Regions from separate parts of the Mus musculus genome. Here all the other regions are reported to be linked to region 1. Evidence: microRNA targets listed by miRTarBase, many of them from high-throughput screens and not tested one by one. Region 1 holds a microRNA gene; each other region holds the end of a gene's coding sequence.
Evidence for each region. The annotated mature microRNA mmu-miR-453 reads AGGUUGCCUCAUAGUGAGCUUGCA and lies in region 1 at 2,971-2,994, opposite strand. An mRNA with a match to its seed (bases 2 to 7 or 8) in the 3' UTR can be bound and repressed. Matches are read on the target gene's strand: a 7mer-m8 pairs with bases 2 to 8, a 7mer-A1 pairs with bases 2 to 7 and ends in A, and an 8mer does both.

Region 1 (5,622 bases):
TATGTCCCTCCCTGAGTCCACCAGAGAACCAGGGATACACTGGGCATGGACAGCATACCTCTTACTAGATCCAACCATGGTGAACCATCCCTTCACTTACCCTGGAAAGACGCTAACACCACAGTCCCACCCCAGAAATTCCTCCAAGGCGGGATTTGGTACTGAAAAATAGGTCAACCGTGTATGATTCGTCACGAATAAAGCGAAGGCAACACGGATAACCTATCTTCAAGCACCGCACGTGGGTACCAGCATCTCTTCTCTGAAGCTGGCTTCCTCCAGGAAGTCCCCCAAGCACAGTGAACACAGCAGGTTACTGCATTGACTGTGAGAGGGCTTGAGAAGGCATCACGCACCCCAGGTCCAACCCATTCCTCCCCAACCCCTGACACCCATGGTTATCTAGTCTTGGCACCACTGCCAAGGATACAGTGTCTAAGGGTCCTTACAAGGGTCTGGTGATGGAGGTCCTAGATGCACAGATTTCATCCTGTGTTCATCATAGGAGTGGAAAGTTCCTAGCTTCATACTGAGATTGAGGCAAACACCAATGACCCTCGCCTTACATAGGCTTTGTTTCTAGGGATTTCCTGAAAAGTTCACAGAGAGGCTGACTTGGCAATACTCATTATAAAGGTAAGGTCAGCACTAAATGGCACTGACACTCAAGTCATGGCCTCGTCCCTTGGGGTGAGCAAACTTTCAGGGTGTTTTCCTAATAATAGGTTGTACTTTTTAGCTTATGATCCACTGAAAATGAGACAACAAAGAAACGAACACTAAAACTTGCTTGGTTGACAGTAAGTTCACATAGCTACCTGACGACAGTGGGCCCATGTCCATCCCAAAACCTGCCTGATGATGGTGGGTTCACGTCCACTCTGGAATCTCCCAGATGGTGGGTCTCCATGTCCATCCTAGACCTTGCCCGATGACAGTGGGTCCATGTTCACCCCAGAAGCTGGCATTGCAATTAGGCATCCTGCCAAGGGGGAAAATAACAGTGGGAAAGGGGAACTGATACCTTTAATCAAATAAATTCATGATGCAAAGGATGCCAGAGAGGGATGCAGGGAAGGTGGCAGTAGGGGGCGGAGACTGACTAAAGAACTACACAGACAATTTGGATCTTTTAAGTCAAGAAAAGAACCGCAGAGAACGTCTTTTAAAGGCTACAACTAACTCTAATAAAGAAGAAATGAAAATTACAATCGAGAAAAAAAAATGATGGGAAAACACTGGCTGGGTTATCATCTGGCAAAGTCACCAGTGCCCAATAGGAAAGTCTTAGAACCCAAAAAAAAAAAAAAAAAAAAACCAAACAAACGAGGAAGGACTGTAGTTCAGACATCAGGTATCAAGCAGGCTACACTAAGGCTATGACCAGCAGACAGCAAAGGAGAAGGAACACAGGAATGCTACCCAGGTTAACCCACTGTTCAGCTAAAGGCTCAACCCAGTAACAAGACTGCATAAGGAAAGCGCCACACATGTGTAAAAACTCTGGGGAGACAGTCACCCACAGCTCAAGCTAGTCGGTGTATAATGCACAGCTACATCTGAAAGAAAGGAAGACCCTTGTGTTAAGGAAGAGAGAACTTAACTCAAAACACGCTCTCTCCCTGCCCTAGGGACCTATGGGTGGGGGCATTCTGGAGGGTTCCCAGGATATGGATTAGAGCAAGGACAGAAGCTATGCGTGGGTATGCCTCAGTGAGTGGGTCTTCTCTGTGCGTGCGTGAAGGTCTGAGTTCCACCCCACCCCACCACCCCCCATTTTGGAAAAAAGAAAAAAGAAGAGGAGAGGGGGCAGTAGAGAGAGGGCAGAGAGGGAGGAAGGGTAGGTAGCATCTGGGAGCCATCCTTGTAGGAATGACAAAAATCCTCATTGCACTGAGATACACTAAGAGCTGAGAAATAGAAGCCCCCGTTTAAAGCAAACAAGTAGCCACGAGTGAAGCTGTTTGTAATACTGAGGACCCGTCTCAAACACTTGTAAGACTTACATTTGCATTTTTTTTCAACAGAAAAATTAAAACACATTGCAACAGTAAAGAAAGCAATGTCGTGGGGCATTTCATATCTTGTAGCAGTCAGAAGCAGCAGAAAATCTGATTGAGCTACTGAATGCTTTCAACTTAAGCTTTCTCAGCTGGGCTGGGATCTTTTTGGACACATCTATAAAGTCTTCCTGACATCGTTCCTTAGGTTAAGCACAAGTGAAATGATGATTTATATTTGAAATAAAATGATTAGACACAGGGAATATTTATCCTGTAAAATATTTCTCTCTTTACTCCCCTTTCCATTTGTATATAAGTCTCAGAAAGGAGTTTGATATTCCTGAAGTTATTTATGTGTGGGTAGAAACTTTTCTAATTTCTTTAATTTAATTGTTTCATATTGCTTTTATTTTTATCACGAGCATACATCTTTTTAATAAAATAGTAATAAGTAGAATAAATCCTCCTTTTACAAAGAAAATGAAGAAATGAAAAATAGTTCTTCTACTGTCCTCAAATTTCTTCTGAGATCCCAGCCAACAGACAAGGAAAATCACCACTCACTTATATCCCCACCCCAAAAAATGCTGACCCCTGGACCCCACTCCAGGATTTCTCAACAGGTCTAAGTCCTCCCTATAAGACGAGATTAACTAGTGGAGACGTGGGGGAGCAAAATTTGTTACTTTTCTTTACAAATAGATAAAAAAAGCCAGAGGTACCATGAGCGCCACCACATCCATGTCTTAAGTTTATAACATGGGTATCTACCTCAATGCTGACAATGCCCTCCATGGAGGGACTGGATGGGGTCAGGGGACACTGGAAGGAACCACATGTTCAAGGACGATGGTATAAACCCCACCAGGATCGTGGCTTCCTCATGATTGATATCAGGTCCAAGGAAGCACCTGGTAAGATGTGATACAGAAAACAGGTCTATCCTGTATTGGGCATCATTAAATAATGCAAGCTCACTATGAGGCAACCTCCCTCCAAGTACCAGGGGATGGCACTTCTCACAGCACTCCTGCATCTTCTTCACAGGGGGACACCTTGGGAGTAGACACAGAATGGACAGGACTCTGAGAATAAGTGAACCAAGTGGCTTAAGTCCCAATCAGACCCATGCTCTCTGGCCAACCTCTGGTTTATGGGCCCCAAATAAGCGCCAAGAGGAAGGTGATTTTTGACTCGTCATGCAATGTTTACTAAGTCAAAGGTGGCAGAGCCATACCCACAGCAAACACAAGTTTGCAAGGCAGGTTGTCCTGGGGATGCTGGGTGAAGCTGAGCTCATCTTCAGAGACTTCACTTCAGGGTATGGAATGGCTACAGATAACTCAACACAGGCTCACAATGTTCCGGGTCCCATTCTAGTCTGTATCCTGAAGGTTAACTAGCCAAGGCTGCTTCTAGTTGTTCTTCCATGGTAGAATTAGGTACTAACCAAAACAGAAGCCAGCCAGTATGTTTAAACATTTAAACAGAATCTCCCAACAGTGTCTCTGGTCTTTCCAAAAAATCAGAAATGTCCTAGGAAGTCGTGTGTGGGTTAGCTTGGACACTGGGATAACTGTGTGAAATATACAATTGGATAAAGGCACTTGACATGGGTTTAGCCATCCAGAAACCCACCTTGGGAACAGTAGTGGCTTGAGAAGACCTCTGAGGCAGAGTTTGACACTAGAAGAGAGGAGAGCCGTGTATGACTCGTTTAGATGAATCGAATTCATCACGGCCAGCCTCTCTCCAAGTATCACACATGATCACTGGCGAAGAACACTGGTGAAGAACACATCGACTCTCTCGAAAAGGTGGCTGCTTCCACTGTCCTGTGAAGAAGGGGTGGGACAGCATTGGGTAGTGGGCCGAGCCGAGTGACATACACCTACATTAAGTGCATGCTCACCCGAGGCACACTTACCTGAAGGGGGATGGTGATAGCCTTGAATCTGGTTAGTCCTCCTGGACCAGAGGGGGCGTGGTTCCACAGTTTCCATGAAGAGAATGTATTCTGGAAGCTCCTGTGGTAGTGTGGCGATGTCGGGACAACCATGCCTGCTTCTAGAGGTTGGTATCATCTCACAGACTCTCCTGTAGAGACAGGATATTGAGGTTAGACAACTGGAAGATAGATCCATCAGATAAGTAAGGCACAGGCACATGCTTAGTAAAGTACAATTCAGTCACACACCCAGGAGAGAAGGGACTTCAGGTCCCTCATGGGAAGTCAACATCATGTCCACATCTGAAGTCAACATTTCAAGGAGGCTGTGACAGTGATGCAGCAGCTACCACGGATGCCTCATGGCATCTTATGTAAACATACACCCCTAAGACCACAGTTCATCCTGGTCCACTGAGCAGGCACAGCCATCAAGTCCATTGACATATCCCCAAACTTGGTAGGATCTCTGGAAAGTCTTCTTTGAGTGGAATTGATGCTGAGGGTTGGTGACTAGGTGGCCCACAGGGTGAACAGAGTGCACGCCCCTCTGGTCAACCAGTCACACACCCTGAATGGTGCTGGCACCAACATCTCTTCCGGAAGATGACCTCTTTTCAAAGTCTTGTAAGCTGATACTTGGGGGCAGAGCCACAGCTGCCTCACCAAGGTTGGCACGGCCCACTGATGAGAGGCCTACAGGTGGATCAGATGCTCAGGTAACCCGACCAGGTGACTTACAGCTAGCTCAAGCACACTGTCCGTGGCCAAACATCCATACTTGGCTTCTCTACCAGCTTGACTGAACCGCCATCTTTCTGCAAGTTGCCATCATGTCCAGGAAATCCTTAGAGGTAGCATTTGGTACTGAAAAAAGTGTTGTCCGTGAATGATTCGTCACAAGTAAAGCGAATCCACCACGAACAACTTCTCTTCAAGTACCACAGAAAAGCAGAGACAAGACAGACAAAGGGCCCCTTCCATTTCTCCAAGGGCTATGGTTTCCAACCACCAACCTGCAGGCAGATTGGATGCTGAGTGTTAGTGAGGTGGGGGCAAGTGCTCTAGAAACACACTGGAGTGGGGCAGGGGTGGTCACTCACCTCCCTTGCAACGATGCTGACATTGTCCCCTTTCTCTGTCTTCCTTGGTTCTAGAGTTCACACTGGAAGGTTTTCAAGATGAGAAGGGAGCCCACTTGCTGTAGGTCAGAAGTCCTCTGCAGGTATATAGACCCTGGGGTATGTGAATGGGGACTTGCATTTCTCAATGGTGCACATATGGTTAGTCACATCAAGGTCCTGAGGGGACTATAAAAGTCCCACTGCAGAAAAGCCCAACCAAGGCTACTAGCATCCTCATATGAATCAAGAGAAGGTTCATTGAGCTCTACATGATCCCAGGTGATCCTCCACTCCCACTGTCTCATCTCTAAGAAATCAGTTTCAAGAAGAAGAAGAAGACCATCACAAATGGCGTAACCAACTCCTACAAGCAACCTTGCACGAGAAGGACCAGTTAGCATTTCCAGATTCTAGTGGCTCGCCACTAGGAAGCTTCCTTAGGATAGCTTCCCAAAGCCCTAGTAAGAACCCATCTCTCACCCTTCCGTGTCCCACCTGCCTCCATGGTTTCATAAAACATATTTCACTAGCAAAGTCCCTTGGGGCT
Region 2 (5,619 bases), not on the chromosome of region 1:
AGAAGGTCTCTGAATGTAATCCCTTGCCAGAACATCCATGATTAAAATTCCTCTACAACTGTGTGCCTTTAATTGGGGAGAACAGAAACAGGAGGATCCCTAGGGCTGACTGGCCAGAGAGTCTAGCTTGAATTAGCAAGTTCAAAAAACAGACCACCCTGCCTCAAAAAAAAAAAAAAAAAGTGGAATGCTAGGACTATGTCTCAGTGAAAGAGTCCGGCCTAGATGTGCCCCAGGGAGGGGCTAGGGTGTGGCTCAAAGGAAGAGCTTCCACCTAGCTTTGCACAGTGAGGGGCTGGGGTCCGTGGTTCAGGGGTAGAGTCCCTACCTAGAATCCCCCAGTGAGTGGATGGAGTCCGTGGTTCAGGGTTAAGTTCTTGCATAGTGTGCCAGCGTTCTATCCCAAGCACCACACATATACACAGAATAGACTGTGGACAGTCAATTAGGAAAGCCCACTGCCTATGATTCCCTTCTCCCACCAAGTGTTGCTAACGCTGAGCCCTGGTGCTGTCATCCTTGCCCCAGAAAGCACTCCCTTTCTATCAGGCCACCCCCTTACCCCAGACACATTTTCACAATGTTCTTGGCAGTAAGGAGCTATTGGTCAACTTGTTTTCAGATTTGAGCAATTTCACACAAGACAAAAATGTTCTAGATAAAGAATTGAATGGCGGGCTCTCTCTCTCTTTCTCTCTCTCTGGTTTAAGGACTGAATCTAGGGCCTTAAATGTGCTAGGCCAATGCTATACTACTGAGGCACACTCCCACCCTCACTACTGGATCCTAGGCAGAGGCTCTATCTCTGAGCCACATCCCCAGCCCCTTACTAGGGGAGCACTTTACTGTTAATTCATGCCTATAGCCCTGCCTGATATCTTACCTGGAGAGTGAGGGCTAGGAGCATCCCTGGAGACAACAACACAGGTCCCCTGTTGTGAGGCAACAGGAAAGATGCAGCAAGCATATCAGTTTTCTGGCTACTAACCCCTAAATCAAATTAAAATGGATACCATGGTTCTGAGCCCCTGTTTTAGGGGAGACTGGAAGGCAAGGGTAGGGGGTCAATAGATGCTGGAAGATGCATTATGGTGGTACCAAGAAAGCCACAGGTCAGGAAAAGGACCACGAAGAACATGTAACAAGTAATGATGACATGGTGACACTTGAGCTAAAGGGAGGTAACAGGTGGGGAGAGCTGCAGGTGCAAAGGCCTTGGGGCAGGAACAAAGTGTCACTGGTTAGAGGATGCCTCCCTGAATGGTATACCTACATAACACAGAAAGCAAGGATGGACATTTTATTCTTATAAAGAGGGTCTTAAAGATTCTTTGTAATGTGGGAGGTTTGCCAAGATCTCAGCTGATGACAGTAGCCACAGAGAGCAATAAATGCTTGCACAATCAACATTTGTGTTTGGTAGTATAGACACTGTGCCGGCTAGTTTTATGTCTGCTTGAGACAAGCTAGAGTCATCAGAAAAAGGAGGCTCAACTGAGAAAATGCCTCTATTAGGCTGTAGGCAAGCCTGGGAAGGCCCTGCCCATTGTGGGCGGTGCCACCCTTGAGGGAGTGGCACTGCCTTCTAGAAGAAATCAGGTTGAGCAAGCACAGTAAGCAGCGCCCTCTGTGGCCTCACCAGCTTCCACCTCCAGGTTCCCGTCCTGCTTGAGTTCCTGCCCTCACTGTTTTGGGTGATGAATGAACTCTTATATGGAACTGAGTGAAATAAGCCCTTTCCTCTCCAAACTGCATTTGGTCATATTCCATCACAGCGGTAGTAACCCCAAGACAGACTCATCCTTCATGTCGGTATCATCAGATTCGGTCGGGATGGGTGGGCCACACCTTTAATCCCAGCACTAGCTAGCCTGGTCCACATGGTTCCAGCCAGCCAGGACTACACAATGTGATGAGTATTTTTTTAACTTTTTTTTTTTTTAAAGGAAAGATGAGAGTAGTTTAAGCAACAGTTTTGTTTCTGCTGAGAACCATCAAATAATCCTTAGCCCACTTCCCAGGCTTCTCTAATAATTAGGTCACCCAAGCTCTGGTTACGATCTGGGCCGCAGCATCCCCTGGCGCTCACCTCGCTGAAATACGGAAACAGATCCCAGAGAGAAACAGCAGTTTGCTGCCAGGGATCTTAGAGTTTACATTTAAACTTTAGAATAACCTCCCGTGCCAGACAACTCCAGCACTTCAGAACCTGGGGTAAAACGGTAGGGAGTTCCAGGCTAGCCTGAGCTACAGAGCAGGAAGATCACCCTCTGTCTCCCTCCACTTACCATCCATCCCTTCTGCACTGAAACCAGGACAGCTGGTTGGGATTGAGGGGGGGGGGGGGCTGTGACAGACGATTTCCTTATTCCCACTCATTCATTCCAAATTTCATGATCTTTTTGAGTTGGGGTGCTCAGGACAATCTGATTAGAATCCCAAGCCTCATGTTCTCAACTTTTCTGAGAAATGTCTTTAGATTCCCTGGGCTTTGATGAACTCAAAATCAAAAGGATCCTCCTAGCTGTGTCCACAACTCTGCATGGCTCACATGCCCAGGCAGGACCCAAAAGACAGGACCCAAATGACAGGGGGCACCGTGCTTGGCTTCCAGCCCAGGCCACTCTAACACTTGGACTGGGCTTCTTGGCCTCCCTGCTCCTGAACCCCTGAATCCTTCCATAGTGTTCAACTGCCCATCAGTAACAAAATCTTCACCCAGCTTTGCCAGGTCCCACCTAGTTCTCAGACCTTTGTAAAATCTCATTCTAAAGTCAGAGACAGAGGCCAGGGCTTCCAGTACTGCTGGGTGAGCTCTGTAATCCCGGTGCTCTTGTTCATGGGCAGCACTTAACTGTCTGGCTCACCATGTGGCACCATGTAGCATCCTTCCATGGTTTTGGCTTTGTAGCCTTGAGCCTCCCATTCCCTTCTACTCCTATTCCCACCTCTAGATGAAACACTTTGGGATGCCTTCCAATCCTCTTTACCTGTGATACCTGCCTGGCTGTGTCCCCAAAAAGAAGGTCCCTTCTCTGTCTTATTCACACACTGAACCATACCTCCTGTTACTCAAATGCTATGGGCTAAATTGTATCTGTTCCCAAGAGTTAGATGATCTTGTCCTAACCCTTTGTATCTCAAGATGAATATATTTAGAAACAAGGTCTTTTTAAAGATAATTAAGTTTAAAAAAAAAAATGAGGCCACAGGGTGGGCTCTCATCCAGTATGTGGTGACATAAGAAGAGGAAATTGGGACACCTGCAAAACGCAACCATGTGAGGACACAGAGAAATGGCCAGCTGCAGGGGTGGAGATGTGGTTCAGCTGGAAGAGTACCTGCCTAGCATGCATGAAGAACTGTGTTCATCCCCCAGCACTGCAGAAACTGCACAGTGGCAACCCCAACTGCACAGCTGTAACCCCAACACTCAGGAGTTCAAAATCACCCTCAGCTATTTAACAAGACCAGCCTGGAACTACAGGATACCCTTTCTTGAATAAAGGGTATCTATCTACAAACCAATCAACACCTCCAGCAAAGACCAAACTTCCAGAACTGTGGAATAATAAATTCCTGTAAAGCCATCTGAGTGAAGTGCTTTTATTCATTTATTTACCTGTTTGTTTGTTTATTGCTGTGTGTTGGGGGGAGGTGTACATGTATCTGGGTTCGCACTGAAGCCGGGAGAGAGCACTGAATTCCCTGGAGCTGGAGTTACAGTCAGTTTTGAGTCACCCAAATTGGGTGTTGGGAACCAAATTCCAGGCCCCTGTAAGGGCAGGAAACGCTCTTAACTTCTGAGCCATCCAGGCCCTAGGAATAGTTTATAAGTTGACCCTACTGAACAAATATACCTCCATTAAAAACTCTGGTAAATCCTGCAATTAAGAGTCTACAGGCATATCTTAAGGTTGGGTGCGGGGGGTTACTAGGAAGCCGGTGTTAGAGTTTGCTGTATTTTATTTATTTTTTTAAGATTTATTTATTTATCATATGTAAGTACACTGTAACTGTCTTCAGACACACCAGAAGAGGACGTCAGATGTCATTACGGATGGTTGTGAGCCACCATGTGGTTGCTGGGATTTGAACTCAGGACCTTTGGAAGAGCAGTCAGTGCTCTTACCCGCTGAGCCATCTCACCAGCCCCAAGTTTGCTGTATTTTAAATGCTAGCTCTGATTGCTGGAATTGGGGATTCAAGTTCTACTTGCAGTAGCTCCTGGGAGGTTCCGGGGAAGAGTCAGGATTCAGGTCTACTCTATTTCCGTTTCTATTTCTGGTGCTGGAGATGCATCAGTGGGTAAGAGACTAGCTGTTCTCACAGCAGACTCAAGAACCTTCATGGCTTCACACAACCATTTATAACTCTGGTTCCAGGGGATCCCACACCCTATTCTGACCTCTACAGGCACTGATACTTATGATGCATAAACATACATACAAGTGTAACACACAAAATAAAGATAAAGGTTAAAATTTTTCCTATATTTCTAACCTTACAGCCTAAAGAACTCTAGTGACAGTGGGGTTGCAGCCCTGGCAACCCCTAATCTGCACCTCTCTATCTCCTCTGCCAAAATCAGGCCTGGGTTTGGATGGAGGACCCAGCAAGAGAGCCAGTGCCTCCTAAACTTCAAGCCAATACTGACCCTACAGCCCAGGTTCTCAGCGTTAATGAAAGCTACAGATGCTTCTGGGGGCCGGGGAAAGGTTCGGGCAGGACAGTGAAAACGCAGGGGGAGGTCTGGCTCAATACAGCTCCCTCTGGGAAGAAAATGAGGTGAGCCCTGGTGGGAAGACAGAAGGGAAGCGTTTATTTCTCTGGAATAGGAGAGGGCAGAGGCAAGGGGCTGTGTCAGGGCAGGGCCACACCCTCCAGCTTCTGATCCAGTGTCTTGAGGTCATCGAGGAAGCGGGTTGGAGTAAGGATGTGAGAAGAGCCTGGGCAGGAGGGGAAGGTTAAAGGAGGAGGTAGAGTCCCTCCCTCCTGACTCGTGTCCTGGCTGGTGAGAACAAACTCCTGCCCTTCTGCAAACCAGGGCCCTGTCTTCTCAATGATTGAGGGGTTCAGAAACTTAGGAACAGGGGTATCCAGCCCCAGGTGATTACTCCACTGAAGACTCCAGCCCCAGCCTTTCAAAGTCCCCAGATTCCCACCCCCAAGCCCAGAACTTTCATAATCTAATCCTAGCCCTTTAGGGATTCTTTGAGTTCAGCCCCAGCCCCTCAAAGACCAGAGCTCAGTCGCAGGCCCTATAAGGACCTCAGAGCTCAGCCTTAGATCTCAATAGACTACAGAGTCCAGCACAGGACACCCCCCCCCCCCCCCAAGAGAAAGAGTCCAGACTCTAGCCCTGGGCTTTTAAGGACTCAGAATCTAGGCTCAGGCTCCAGAGAAGCCCAAGTCCCCACATCTTAGGCGTTTGAGGACAACAAATCTAACTGCAGACTCTAAGGGACCCCATGTCCAGCCCTGGTCCCCAGGAATCCCCACAGTCATACTCCCAAGGACCCCAGTTCTGGCTACTTACCTATGAGCACCTCCCACTTGCCCTCAGTGGCCCTGGTCACCTCATAGGCAGCCCTCATTTCCGACATGGCGACACCACCC
Region 3 (5,622 bases), not on the chromosome of region 1:
GAGTGGCAAGATCCCACCTGCTAGGTGAAGGGCAGAGAGTGACTTTTGACCTGTACCTGCTGGTCCTGACTTGAGAGGTGAGAGCTGGTGCCTGGGCAGAGCCTCAAGGCCCCTGGCTAACAGTTCTGCTTAGGTGTGTGTCTGGGAATCTGACCTGCGTCAGCCGAGGTCTGTACACTGTCCTCAGTCAGACAATAGTGTGTCTAGGGCAGGGTGTGACTAGGGGACTCCTGGAGGAGTGGCACATTCACATATGTGGAACTGGGACCTCCCCCTACAGTCGGGAGGAGAGCTGGTTGTACAGGCTCCACCTACCGGCATCTTATTGTCTCTGCCCTGGCTGGTAGTAGAGTCAGCTCAGAGTCCTCACAAACTGTCCCTTAGGGTGGCCTGAGCTCTCTGCCATATCTGGGAACGGGTATGAGTGGTAAGTACCTAGCAGCCTGATTGTGGGACTCAGGGAATGCTTGGGGGTGCCGATCAACAGGAATGTACCCTGAAGGTCTGCTGGTGCTTCCCCCCCTGTTGCCAGCAGGAGTGAGTCAGCAGATGTTGGGGGGTCCTCCATGATAACCCACCATGTGTCTGGCTGTGAGGAGGTTAGTTCAGGAAGTGACTCATAAGGTTCCTGGGAATGCTCCTCTGAGGGCAGATAGCTGGCTGAGCTCCAAACTGCAATCATCCGGGGACTGCTGGATCTCCTCCTGTCTCCGTTGGTAGATAGCTTTCTTCCTACTTGGAGGCCTGGTGCTTCAGGCCATCTGACCTCCTCCCCGTTCCTCTAGGCCCAGGATGGGTGAATTCAATGAGAAGAAGGCAACATGTGGCACAGTCTGCCTCAAGTACCTGCTCTTTACCTACAACTGCTGCTTCTGGGTGAGAAGAGCTAATTTCTCCCTGCATCCCTAGTCCCCATGTTGGAGGCCTGGCCTGGGGGGCTCAGTCCCAGCTTCCAGACCCAGGCCAGATGTGGTGACCAGTATATACTTTCTGCAGCTGGCCGGCCTGGCTGTCATGGCAGTGGGCATCTGGACACTGGCCCTCAAGAGTGACTACATTAGTCTGCTGGCCTCAAGCACTTACCTAGCCACGGCCTACATCTTAGTGGTGGCTGGTGTTGTTGTCATGGTGACTGGAGTCCTGGGCTGCTGTGCCACTTTCAAGGAGCGACGGAACCTGTTACGCTTGGTCAGTGGGGCATGGTGGCACACGGTGGGGCTAGGGGTGCCTTGCATGGATTTCTCAGGGGGCCTCTGGTACTGGTTCTGGGGACTTAACTGGTTGAGTGTATTACTGCAGGCTGTCCCTGTTGGGGCAGACACGAGCTTCAGAACTATGAAGGAGCTAGGCAGCCCCAGAGTGTAGCTCCTAACTGAATTCCTCTTGCTTGGCCTCCTGGGTTGGGGGCTTGGCTTTGTGGTACTCTGGCACTAGCAACCCCCCACTTACTGGGTCCCTGCTCCCTAGTACTTCATCCTGCTCCTCATCATCTTCCTCCTGGAGATCATTGCTGGCATCCTGGCCTATGTCTATTATCAGCAGGTAAGGGCCTGGACAGGCCATGGGGTGTGCCTAGAACATGGCCCTGTCAGTCCCATTGGAGGTCCTGGCTCCAGCTTTGCCTTTGCCCAGAGTTTGATCCTACCCACAGCTGAACACAGAGCTCAAGGAGAATCTGAAGGACACCATGGTCAAGAGATACCACCAGTCAGGCCACGAGGGTGTGAGCAGCGCTGTCGACAAGCTGCAGCAAGAGGTGGGTGCCCCTAGAACTGCCCGCCCTCTCGGCATGGTGCCGTGTGCCGGCAAGCGCTGAGGCTCAGCCATGTGCCCCTTGTAGTTCCACTGTTGTGGCAGCAACAACTCTCAAGACTGGCAAGACAGCGAGTGGATCCGCTCTGGTGAGGCAGACAGCCGCGTGGTTCCTGACAGCTGCTGTAAGACTATGGTAGCTGGCTGTGGTAAGCGGGACCATGCCTCCAACATCTATAAAGTGGAGGTAGGTGGGTTCTCAGCAAGGGGCGGGGCTAGGCCGGACTGGTCTTCAGGCAGCCTGGCCCACCACCCTTCTCTCCCACTAGGGTGGCTGTATCACTAAGCTGGAGACCTTCATTCAGGAGCACCTGCGGGTCATTGGGGCGGTGGGCATTGGCATCGCCTGTGTGCAGGTCTTCGGCATGATCTTCACCTGCTGCTTGTACCGAAGCCTCAAGCTGGAACACTACTGACCACGATGATGTCAGGCCGGGCGGCCAGCCTTGCACTACTGACCACGATGATGCCAGGCTGGGCGGCCAGCCTTGCACTATGTCCCAGCCCCACTACTGAACACTACTGACTTAGACTGCTGACTGCCAGAGGTAGCTACCCTCATGCCATCGCCATGACCCCCCCTGGCATGCCACCTCAGGGGCATGCACCTTCAAGTGCCTTTCACTGCACACCAAAGTCCCAAAGCTCGAAGCAGCGTACTTGCCCCAGCATTAAGAAGGGGGGGGGGGGTGGGGGGTTCAAATGCCAGTGTTGGGCTAGGCCTGGCTAGTAGAATAGGGTTTAGATTATTTGACAGAAGTGCCTCTTATGCAGACTGCTTCCCTTTGGGTAGCTGTGATCTGCAGTAAGTCTGGGGAGAACCTGAGTACACCACTACACGTTGGGTAAAAGCAGGTGGGGCCTTTCTGGTTGGATTAGGCACCCTTCATGCCTGCTACCAGGAACTCTCAGATCTGCTTGCCCCAAACAAATGGTGTAAGCTGAGGGAAACTCCAACCCCACACTTGATGCTCTGTCCTCTCCACACAGGCCTCTTGCTCCTAACAGCTCAGCCCTGGCCTTTTCTCACTACTGATAGCATCATGTAAATGCTCCATGTTCCTGTACACTGTCTCCTTTTGGAGCATCTCTGAATGGAGCATGGCTGTTTTCATCTCACTGCTGTATTCCAGATGCTGCCCACAAATGCTCCTGCTATGTAACAGGTGCTCAATAAATGTAAATGTATAAGCACTCGAATCAGCTTGCTGACAGGACCTTATGGTCCAGGGTAGCTGGAGTACTCACAAGAGTCAAGGTTGGTGAAGCCCAATGGCAATTACAGTTAGGGTGAGCACTGGTAGCTGGAACATCCCCCCAGCCCACTGTGGCCTGGACTTGTCCATGCTCAAGGAAGAGTCTGTAGGCCTTGCTAGGGTCAGAGGGCAAGGGAGGCACCAGGGCCTGTTGGGGATGCCCTGGCTCCTGTTTCTCTGGCTTTAGCTCATCTAAGCAGCTGAGAAGAGGTCCTAAGCTGATTTTGTTCCCCACAGTCTTCTGTGCCAGCTGGAGGAGGCCACTATGGGTTCTCTGGACTCTAGCCTAAGGCAAAGCCTTTTTCTTTTTTTTTTTTTTTTAAAGATTTATTTATTAATATATGTAAGTACACTGTTGCTGTCTTCAGACACTCCAGAAGAGGATCTTGTTGCGGATGGTTGTGAGCCACCATGTGGTTGCTGGGATTTGAACTCTGGACCTTTGGAAGAGCAGTTGGGTGCTCTTACCCACTGAGCCATCTCACCAGCCCGCCTTTTTCTTTAAAACAACAAAAAACCAGGGGTGGGGTAGGGTGGGTATGCTATGCCACACACACCTTTAATCCCAGAATCCAAGAGGTAAAGGCAGGCTGACTGTTGTGAGTTTCAAACCAGCCAAAGCTGGTCTCAAAAAACAAAACAAAAAAACCCACCAAAATTCTCAAAGGGATCAATGTGCTAGAAAGAACCCGGGGTACTTGATGCAGATGCCTAGGAGCTAAAGCACTACACCACCTCCTTTGGCCTAGAGTAGGCTTCTTAGGACTACATGCTGTGGGGATTGGGTCAAGGGGCAGGGCTGCCTAGCTGTCGGGCCTGGGAAGATTCTGGAAACAAGATCCTCAGGCATGGGCAGCAGATAGGCTCACACAGCTGATGGGCTTTAGGACCCAAGAAATTCGTGAGGCCTGTGGCCTTGGGCGTACTCCTACAGTATCTGGGTTTGGTTGGGTGGCACAAGCCGTCCTTTAAACTCAACACTCGGGAGGCAGAGACTGATCTCTTTAGTTCAAGGCCAGCCTGGTCTGCAGAGTTGAATTCCAGGATAGTCAAGGCCAAACAGAGAAACCCTGTCTTGGAAAATGAAAGGTAAATAAATCTGGGTTTGATTCCCAATACCTGATGGCAGCTTATACATTCTATAACTTTACTCTCAGGGGATCTGGCCTCTGTGGGGACACAGTGATACAAAGACTTATAAGCAGACCAAATACCCAAATGCATAATAACCCTAGCACAAGGATTGGGACCTCCAAGCACGCTCAGCATTCCAAAGGAATATTGTCACCAGGCTTGGGCCCATCCATACCTGTGGATGGTGTGGTGCCCACATCCATTATGCCCATCCTGAACACAGGCAGGAAGCGGAGAGGCCCTAAAGCAATGTGGTACAAGACTACTGTAGGGCTACCTCGTTGATCAAAGTGGTCAAGGCCCCGGGGAACGGAAGCAGGGTACTCCTCCACAGGACGAGACTCCCAGTCAGATGAAGGGGAAGGAGACCAGCCCTAGGGGAAAGACTGGAGGCAGGCCAGGTAGCCTCAGAGACAGCACAGACATGGACATGGAGCACCTTGGAAGTTAGACCTGTTGGTGGTTCTGCAAACATCTTTACTAAACAGTTCCTTCCAGGGTAACAGGACTTAGCCACAGGGCCACAGCCAGGCAATACACCAACATCCCCAATAGCTCAGTTTGAACATAGCACGACAGGCTGCCCGTGGCCAGCAGGAGACAGAGGAGGGCAGGCTCCAGCGGTCACTTCTCTAGGGGTGCATAGTTCAGCAGCTTCTCAATCAGGTCCACGTGTGCTAGCAGCATGCGGCGGCAGCAGTAGCGCTTTAGGCCCAGAGCGTCCAGGGCATCCCTGTAAAGAGAAGAGTGAGGCTGGATGTGGTCTCTAGAGTCTGGATAGGTTTGGAACCACCTCCAGCTTGCCTCTGGGTATTCGTGTGGATAGGGGTTACCAGAGCACATCTACATAATCAGCGATTGAAACCTGACACCAGGCCATAGGGAAATGGCCTGGAGATTTCTGAAATATGTATCTAGATGCTCAGGGAGGAGCCAGGTGACCCTTTCCCCACCTAGAAGTTACACCTGCTCATGTGCCAGTCTTCTCCCATAGCATCCTGTATCCATCCTTAACAGCCTTCTGCCTACACCTGTTTTTTAAAATTTCGTTTTATGTGTATGGGTGCCTGATGCTCCCAAAGCCCAAAGGAGTTACGGACACTTGCGAGATACCATGTTGCTTCAAGGAACGGAACCTGAGTCCTCTTAAAAAACAATCAAACAACCAAACACACAAAACAGCCAGTGCTCTTAACAGTTGAGCCATCTAGCTGGGTGTGGTGGTGCACACCTTTAATCCCAAGCACTTGGGAGGTAGAGGCAGAGGCAGGTGAATTTCTGAGTTCGAGGCCGGCCTGAGCTACAAAGTGAGTTTCAGGACAGCCAGGGCTACACAGAGAAACCCTGTCTTGAAAAACAAAACAACAACAAAAAAAACAGTTGGGCCATCTCTCTAACCCCCTGTATCTCTGCGTTTGTC
Region 4 (5,622 bases), not on the chromosome of region 1:
CAGAGTGCGCTGTCTGCCTTCCAGCCAGCCCTGAAAGAGGAAGAAGACAGCTGTTCAGAAGCTTCGGAGGTACAGCAGCCATTGCCTCCTTGCAGGCAGAAGAGGAAGCAGAGGAGAAGCACAGTGCCTCTTCCCCTAGCACCTGGGAGGAGGTATGGATGGGTGGGCACAGGGGCGAAGCAGCAGCAGCAGCTGGGTTTCTGAGGGCCAATAAAAGATGAACACGTCTAGACCTGACCTGGACCCTGGGGCTGGGAGAAGGTTGGATAGTGGATTCTAGACTGCTCCCCTTTTTGCCGCTGCACACTGGAGCTGAGGCGGAGGAGTCAGGACCAGATCCTACTCTGTGCCCGTCTAGCCTACAGAAGAGGAGGCCGCCAAGGGTTATGACGACAGCTCCTCTCTGGCTCTCCCATCCCTTCCCACAAGGGCTCCACTCGAGAATCCGTGGAGGCTTCCGCAAGCCATCAGCCCAGAGGGGAGGCTCTGGTCCCGGCCCCCTCTCCATTACTTCCATCTGATTGCCTTGGCACTCAGAAACAGTCCCCCCTGTGGCCTCAGTGTACAGCAGATCTACAGTTTCACTCGGTATGTGCCCAGGGGACCCTGTGAGGAGGGGGAGGGGAGGGTCGGGGTTTAATAACTTCCAACCTGGCCCTGGGCTGCTGACGCAGTTTCCCCTTCTCATTTTATTTCCCCAGGCAAAATATATGCCTACTCAGCGCTCAAGAACATAACCACTCCTACCCCTTCGCCACTTACAATCCAGCTGTCCCTCAAATACCAATTCTCCTGGGTCGTTACAGTTTCTCCTACCCTGTCCCCAAAGATTAGCCAGAATAGAATCCAGCATCCCCCAAAACATCTCCGCTTTCTGCCCCTTAGACTGTCCTGCCTGGCACAGAACCTTGTACCTCCAAGGGTCATGGAAGCCTCACTGAGAATTTGCATTGTGTGTGTCTCTGTGTGTTGTGTGATCATTGAACTTAGGGCCTCTTTTTTTGAGACAAGGACTCACTTTGTAGCTCAGGCTGACTTGAATCTCACTGTATAGACTGGACTAGCCTTGAATTCAGAGACCTTCCTTGCCACTGCCTCCCAAGTGACAGGGTTTCTGTGTGTAGCGCTGGCTGTCCTAGAACTCACTATGCAAACCAGGCTGCCTTCAAAATCAGAGATCTACCTGCCTCTGTCTCTTGAGTGGTGGAATTAAGGATGCGCTACCATGACCGGCTAACCTTTCGCTTTGATAGTCATACATAAGTGTGAGGGAGGTCTTCCCTGGTATCAGACAAAGAGCCCCGTGTCTCAGAGTGTTTATCTTGGGTGGTTTAATCCTATTCTTGGTTCTGCTTTGTTCCCACTGTCAAAATCTCCAGCCCTCGAGCGAGGGGCGAAAATGAGACTGAGACTGGGGATATTATACTGGGCTTAGAAGAAGACGTTTCTCAGCCCTAGCATGGTGGTGCAGGCCTGTGATCCCAGCACTCAGGATTCAGAGGTAGGAGGAGGGCCAGGGGTTTAAGGTCATCCTCAGCTGCTCAGTGAGTTCACGGTCAGTCTGGGCTACATTAGACTGTCTCAAAGATGGAAAGAAGGAAAAAGAAAAACGATGGTTCGGGCTGGCAAGATGGCTCAGTGGTTAAGAGCGCCAACTGCTCTTCCGAAGGTCCTGAGTTCAAATCCCAGCAACCACATGGTGGCTCACAACCACCAGTAATGAGGTCTGCTGCCCTCTTCTGGTGTTTCTGAAGTCAGCTACAGTGTACTTACATATAATAAATAAATAAATCTTTAAAAAAAAAAGAAAAACCGATGGTTCATAGGCTGAGATGTGGTTCTGCCGGCAAAGAGCAATTCCAGACCAGCCTGTCCTGCTTCCCCCTGAGAGGAAGCTGAGGCTCCTGGCCCTGGGGAAGAACAAGGACCCCAGTGAGTCCTTTTCAGGGGTGCCACACCTGTCTTCACTCTTCCTCCTTGTCCACAGAGAGCACTTTCCTTTTTTCCGGACAGCCCCGGAAGCCTGGAAGAACACAGTCCGTCACAATCTCAGTTTCCGAGACAGCTTTGAGAAAGTGCCGGCCAGTCGGCAGGGCGTCGAGGCCAGCACCGGGCCTCGATCCTGCCTCTGGAAGTTGACTGAGGAGGGACACCGCCGCTTTTCCAAGGAGGCCCGCACCTTGGCTTCCACTCAGCTGCAAAGTATCCAACAGTGCATGAGCCAGCCAGGTGTGAAGCCTTGTCATGCCTGAGCACAGGGGTGGGGGACCCGAGGCCCAGACTCTAGGCTAGATGCCTTTCTGGATCATACTCTCAAGACTTCTGCAGGAAGCAGGACAGGCGTGATTGAGACCCTCTAAGTTATGAGACCTCCCATGAGAGTGGGAATTGTGTTCAAGGAATAGGGAAACTGAGGTTGCCTCTGGCTCTGCTCACAGCCCAGAATCCTGGCTCAAATGGCCTTTGAGCTGGGTAAAAAGTAGGAGGGCTTATCAATTAAGAGGATTCTGCCATAGCAAGCAGAAAGACTTCAAAAGTGGTAGCCATGGAGCCTTAAGCTCTGTGAGATAGCATAGCAGACCAGGGACAGAGCCGGTCAAGATTGCAAGCTCCTCTGAACTCTCTTACAGATGTGATGCCCTTCCTCTTTGACCTTCAGGATGAATCAGCCGTGCCCTATTAAAGTCTCCTTCAGCAACACCTGTGTGTGTGTGAGATCTCTGAGGATGAGGCTAAGCGGGACTGGGATTCAGATCCAAGAGTGAAAGTAGGAGTTCTGGAAGCTGGCAGATGATAGGTAGGTAGGTGGGTAGGTAAACAGACAGACAGACTTGTTTCTCCATGGATGAAATTAACCAATTGTAGCTGAATCTCAAGTATAAAGAGGACTGGAGGGATGGCTCAGCAGTAAAGAGCATTGACTGCCAGAGGTCGTGAATTCAATTTCCAGCAACCACAGCAACCATGTGTAATGGGATCTGATGCCCTCTTCTGGTGTCTAAGACATCGACAGTGTACTCACCATAAGTATAAAGTAAGGTTTATTGAAAGGCAACTTTGGAGTGAGTTCACTGATCTCACAAGTGGAGGTCAGAGAAGTCATGAGCTGGGCTTAAAGGCAAAGGGGTTTTATGGGCTAGGGCTGGGATTATGCCCATATAAGGTGAAGTGGGTAGCTTGGAGTTTAGAGAAAGGGAGATGACTCGGTAGCCCAGAGTTTTCTTACAGTGGAGTTGGGGAGGGAGCAGTTGGGCTTTCTTCTTCCCTTGAGCAGGGGATGAGCAGGGGTTCCAGCCAAGCATCCCAGCCTCTGGGTATAAGAGCACTGATTCAGATCTGGCCACTTCCCGATGAAGAGGGACAAGGAGGGTGGGAAAGATGGGAGTTGGTGGGGTCCGTGCTTAGAGGGAGGTATGAGTGCAGAAGCATACACACACACACACACACACACACTCTCTCTCTCTCTCTTTTTTTTTTTTTTTTTGGTTTTTCGAGACAGGGTTTCTCTGTATAGCCCTGGCTGTCCTGGAGCTCACTCTGTAGACCAGGCTGGCCTCGAACTCAGAAATCCACCTGCCTCTGCCTCCCGAGTGCTGGGAATAAAGGCGTGCGCCACCATGCCCGGTTACACTCTCTCTTTAATAGCCAGACCATTCACGGTGATAAATGCCTGTGATCCTAGCATTTAGGAGGAACAGGCTGGAGGGTCAGCAATTCAAGGCTGTTCTTCACTATATAATTTGAAGCTAGCCTGGTCTTTTATGTCAGATTAGTCAGGGAAGGTAATTTTATCAGGACCCTGCTTTTTTTTTTTTTTTTTTAATTAGCTTTAGCTGAAGACTTCTGTGTGACCGCCTTCCTGTTCTCAGGTCAGTTTTCCTGAGGTTTACCTGGTTTTAAAAAAAAAAAAAAAAAAAAGAGCCGGGCATGGTGGCGCACGCCTTTAATCCCAGCACTTGGGAGGCAGAGGCAGGTGGATTTCTGAGTTCGAGGCCAGCCTGGTCTACAGAGTGAGTTCCAGGACAGCCAGGGCTGCACAGAGAAACCCTGTCTAAAAAAAAAAAAAGGCAGAAGTGCTCGTTCATTTTTCTTTCTTTCTTTCTTTTTTTTTAAAGATTTATTTATTTATTATATGTAAGTACACTGTAGTTGTCTTCAGATACACCAGAAGAGGGCATCAGATCTCATTACGGGTGGTTGTGAGCCACCATGTGGTTGCTGGGATTTGAACTTCGGACCTTTGGAAGAGCAGTCGGGTGCCCTTAACCACTGAGCCATCTCACCAGCCCCTCGTTCATTTTTCAATGATTTATTTAGTTCTACTTATTTCTGTGTGAAGGTGTCAGATCTCCTGGATCTGACATGTGAGCTGCCATGTGGGTACCAGGAATTAAACCCAGGTCTTTGGGCAGTGCTCTTAACCACTGAGCCATTTCATTTGACACACACACACACACACACACACACACCAGACAACCTTACCATGTGTCCCTTGTTAGCTTAGAACTTGTTATATAGGCCGGGCTGACCTCCTGAGTGTTAGGATTAAAGGCATGTGCCACCATGCCCAGTCTTTTGTATGTTTGCTTTAAAGCTCATTAGCCAAGAATAACCTTAAATTGACTGTGTAGCCAAGGATAGTCTAGAACTCATGGCCATCTTGCCTCTGCACTCCTGGCCAGGAGATAGTATTTGAATGGAAGATGGTTAGGTAGGTAGGAAGTAGAAGGTGTCCAAAGCAGAGGAAATGGAATCAGGAAGTCACAGCCATAAAGGTGAGGCATTGAGATCTGGACAAGGAAGCTCCTGGTGCTCACCTCTAAGGTTCAAGGTCAACCAGCAATTCCTCGAATGATGAGCAAGAGAAGGGGAAGCTGGAGACTACTCTTAAGAGCTGAGGCATCAAGGGCTGTTTTCAGTTAAAAGTAATAAAGTTGACTAGGTAGCAAGTTCCAGACCAGCCTGACCTACACAGTAAGACCCAATTAAAGGCAACACTCAGGAGGTGGAGGCAGAGACGGGTGGATCTCAGTAAATTCCAGATCTGTCAGGGCTGCACAGACCCTGTCAAAAACAAGGAGCCATGCATGTTGGCACATGATTATGAAGGGAATTTATTAGAGTGGCTTTACAGGCAGTTGTCCTGCTAGTCCAACAATGGCTGTCTACGAACAGAGAATCCAAGAATCCAATAGTTGTTCAGTGCCTGGACGTCTCCAGTGGTCTTCAGTATGTGCTGCAATCCTGAAGAATTAGTCTCTAATGCTAATGAAAGACTGAACCTACCAATGAGAGTTCAAGCAAGCAGGCAAAGAGCAAGCTTCCTTCTTCCCTGCTCATAATAAGCTGCCCGCAGAAGGTACGGCTCATAGTAAAGGTGGATCCTCCCTGAGGGTCAAGATTAACCAGCAATTCTGTGAACGATGAGGGAGAGAAGGCAGGCGGAGGCTGTGGTGTAGAAGGCTGTACACCTGGGCAGTGGTGTAGAAGGCCTTTAAACCCAGCATGTTGAAAGCAGAGGCAAGTGGATCTCTGAGTTCTAGGCCAGCCAGAACTGCTCTTCCAGAGGTTCTGAGTTCAATTCCCAGCAACCACATGGTGGCTCACAACTATCTGTAGTGG

Region 2: the mRNA of Stxbp2 is a reported target of mmu-miR-453. Seed matches in the 3' UTR shown: 7mer-A1 at 4,080-4,086.
Region 3: miRTarBase lists Polr2l as a target of mmu-miR-453. Seed matches in the 3' UTR shown: 7mer-A1 at 3,483-3,489.
Region 4: miRTarBase lists Foxr1 as a target of mmu-miR-453. Seed matches in the 3' UTR shown: 7mer-A1 at 1,689-1,695.

Annotation. Positions count from the first base shown.
Region 1 is chr12:109,733,041-109,738,662 of GRCm38, reverse strand. It overlaps Mir453 (microRNA 453), which reads right to left and starts at 3,044; the gene lies at 2,963-3,044. It overlaps Mir382 (microRNA 382), which reads right to left and starts at 4,892; the gene lies at 4,817-4,892. Mir134 (microRNA 134) reads right to left here and starts at 4,524; the gene lies at 4,454-4,524. Mir668 (microRNA 668) reads right to left here and starts at 3,931; the gene lies at 3,866-3,931. It also overlaps Mir485, Mirg and Mir154.
Region 2 is chr8:3,641,976-3,647,594 of GRCm38, reverse strand. Stxbp2 (syntaxin binding protein 2) reads right to left here. Exons shown (of 19, transcript NM_011503.5): 18 at 5,540-5,619; 19 at 3,597-4,949. The coding sequence ends at 4,864. Among named protein-coding and RNA genes, the nearest start is that of Retn, 11 kb to the left of the region's middle.
Region 3 is chr7:141,468,470-141,474,091 of GRCm38, forward strand. Polr2l (polymerase (RNA) II (DNA directed) polypeptide L) reads right to left here. Exons shown (of 2, transcript NM_025593.1): 2 at 3,391-4,935. The coding sequence ends at 4,827. Cd151 (CD151 antigen) reads left to right here. Exons shown (of 8, transcript NM_001111049.1): 2 at 1-77; 3 at 786-876; 4 at 997-1,188; 5 at 1,468-1,542; 6 at 1,652-1,756; 7 at 1,841-1,999; 8 at 2,082-3,012. The coding sequence starts at 793. The coding sequence ends at 2,228. Among named protein-coding and RNA genes, the nearest start is that of Gm10575, 3.5 kb to the left of the region's middle.
Region 4 is chr9:44,430,389-44,436,010 of GRCm38, reverse strand. Foxr1 (forkhead box R1) reads left to right here. Exons shown (of 5, transcript NM_001033469.2): 3 at 1-152; 4 at 430-588; 5 at 702-1,777. The coding sequence ends at 834. Among named protein-coding and RNA genes, the nearest start is that of Foxr1, 7.7 kb to the left of the region's middle.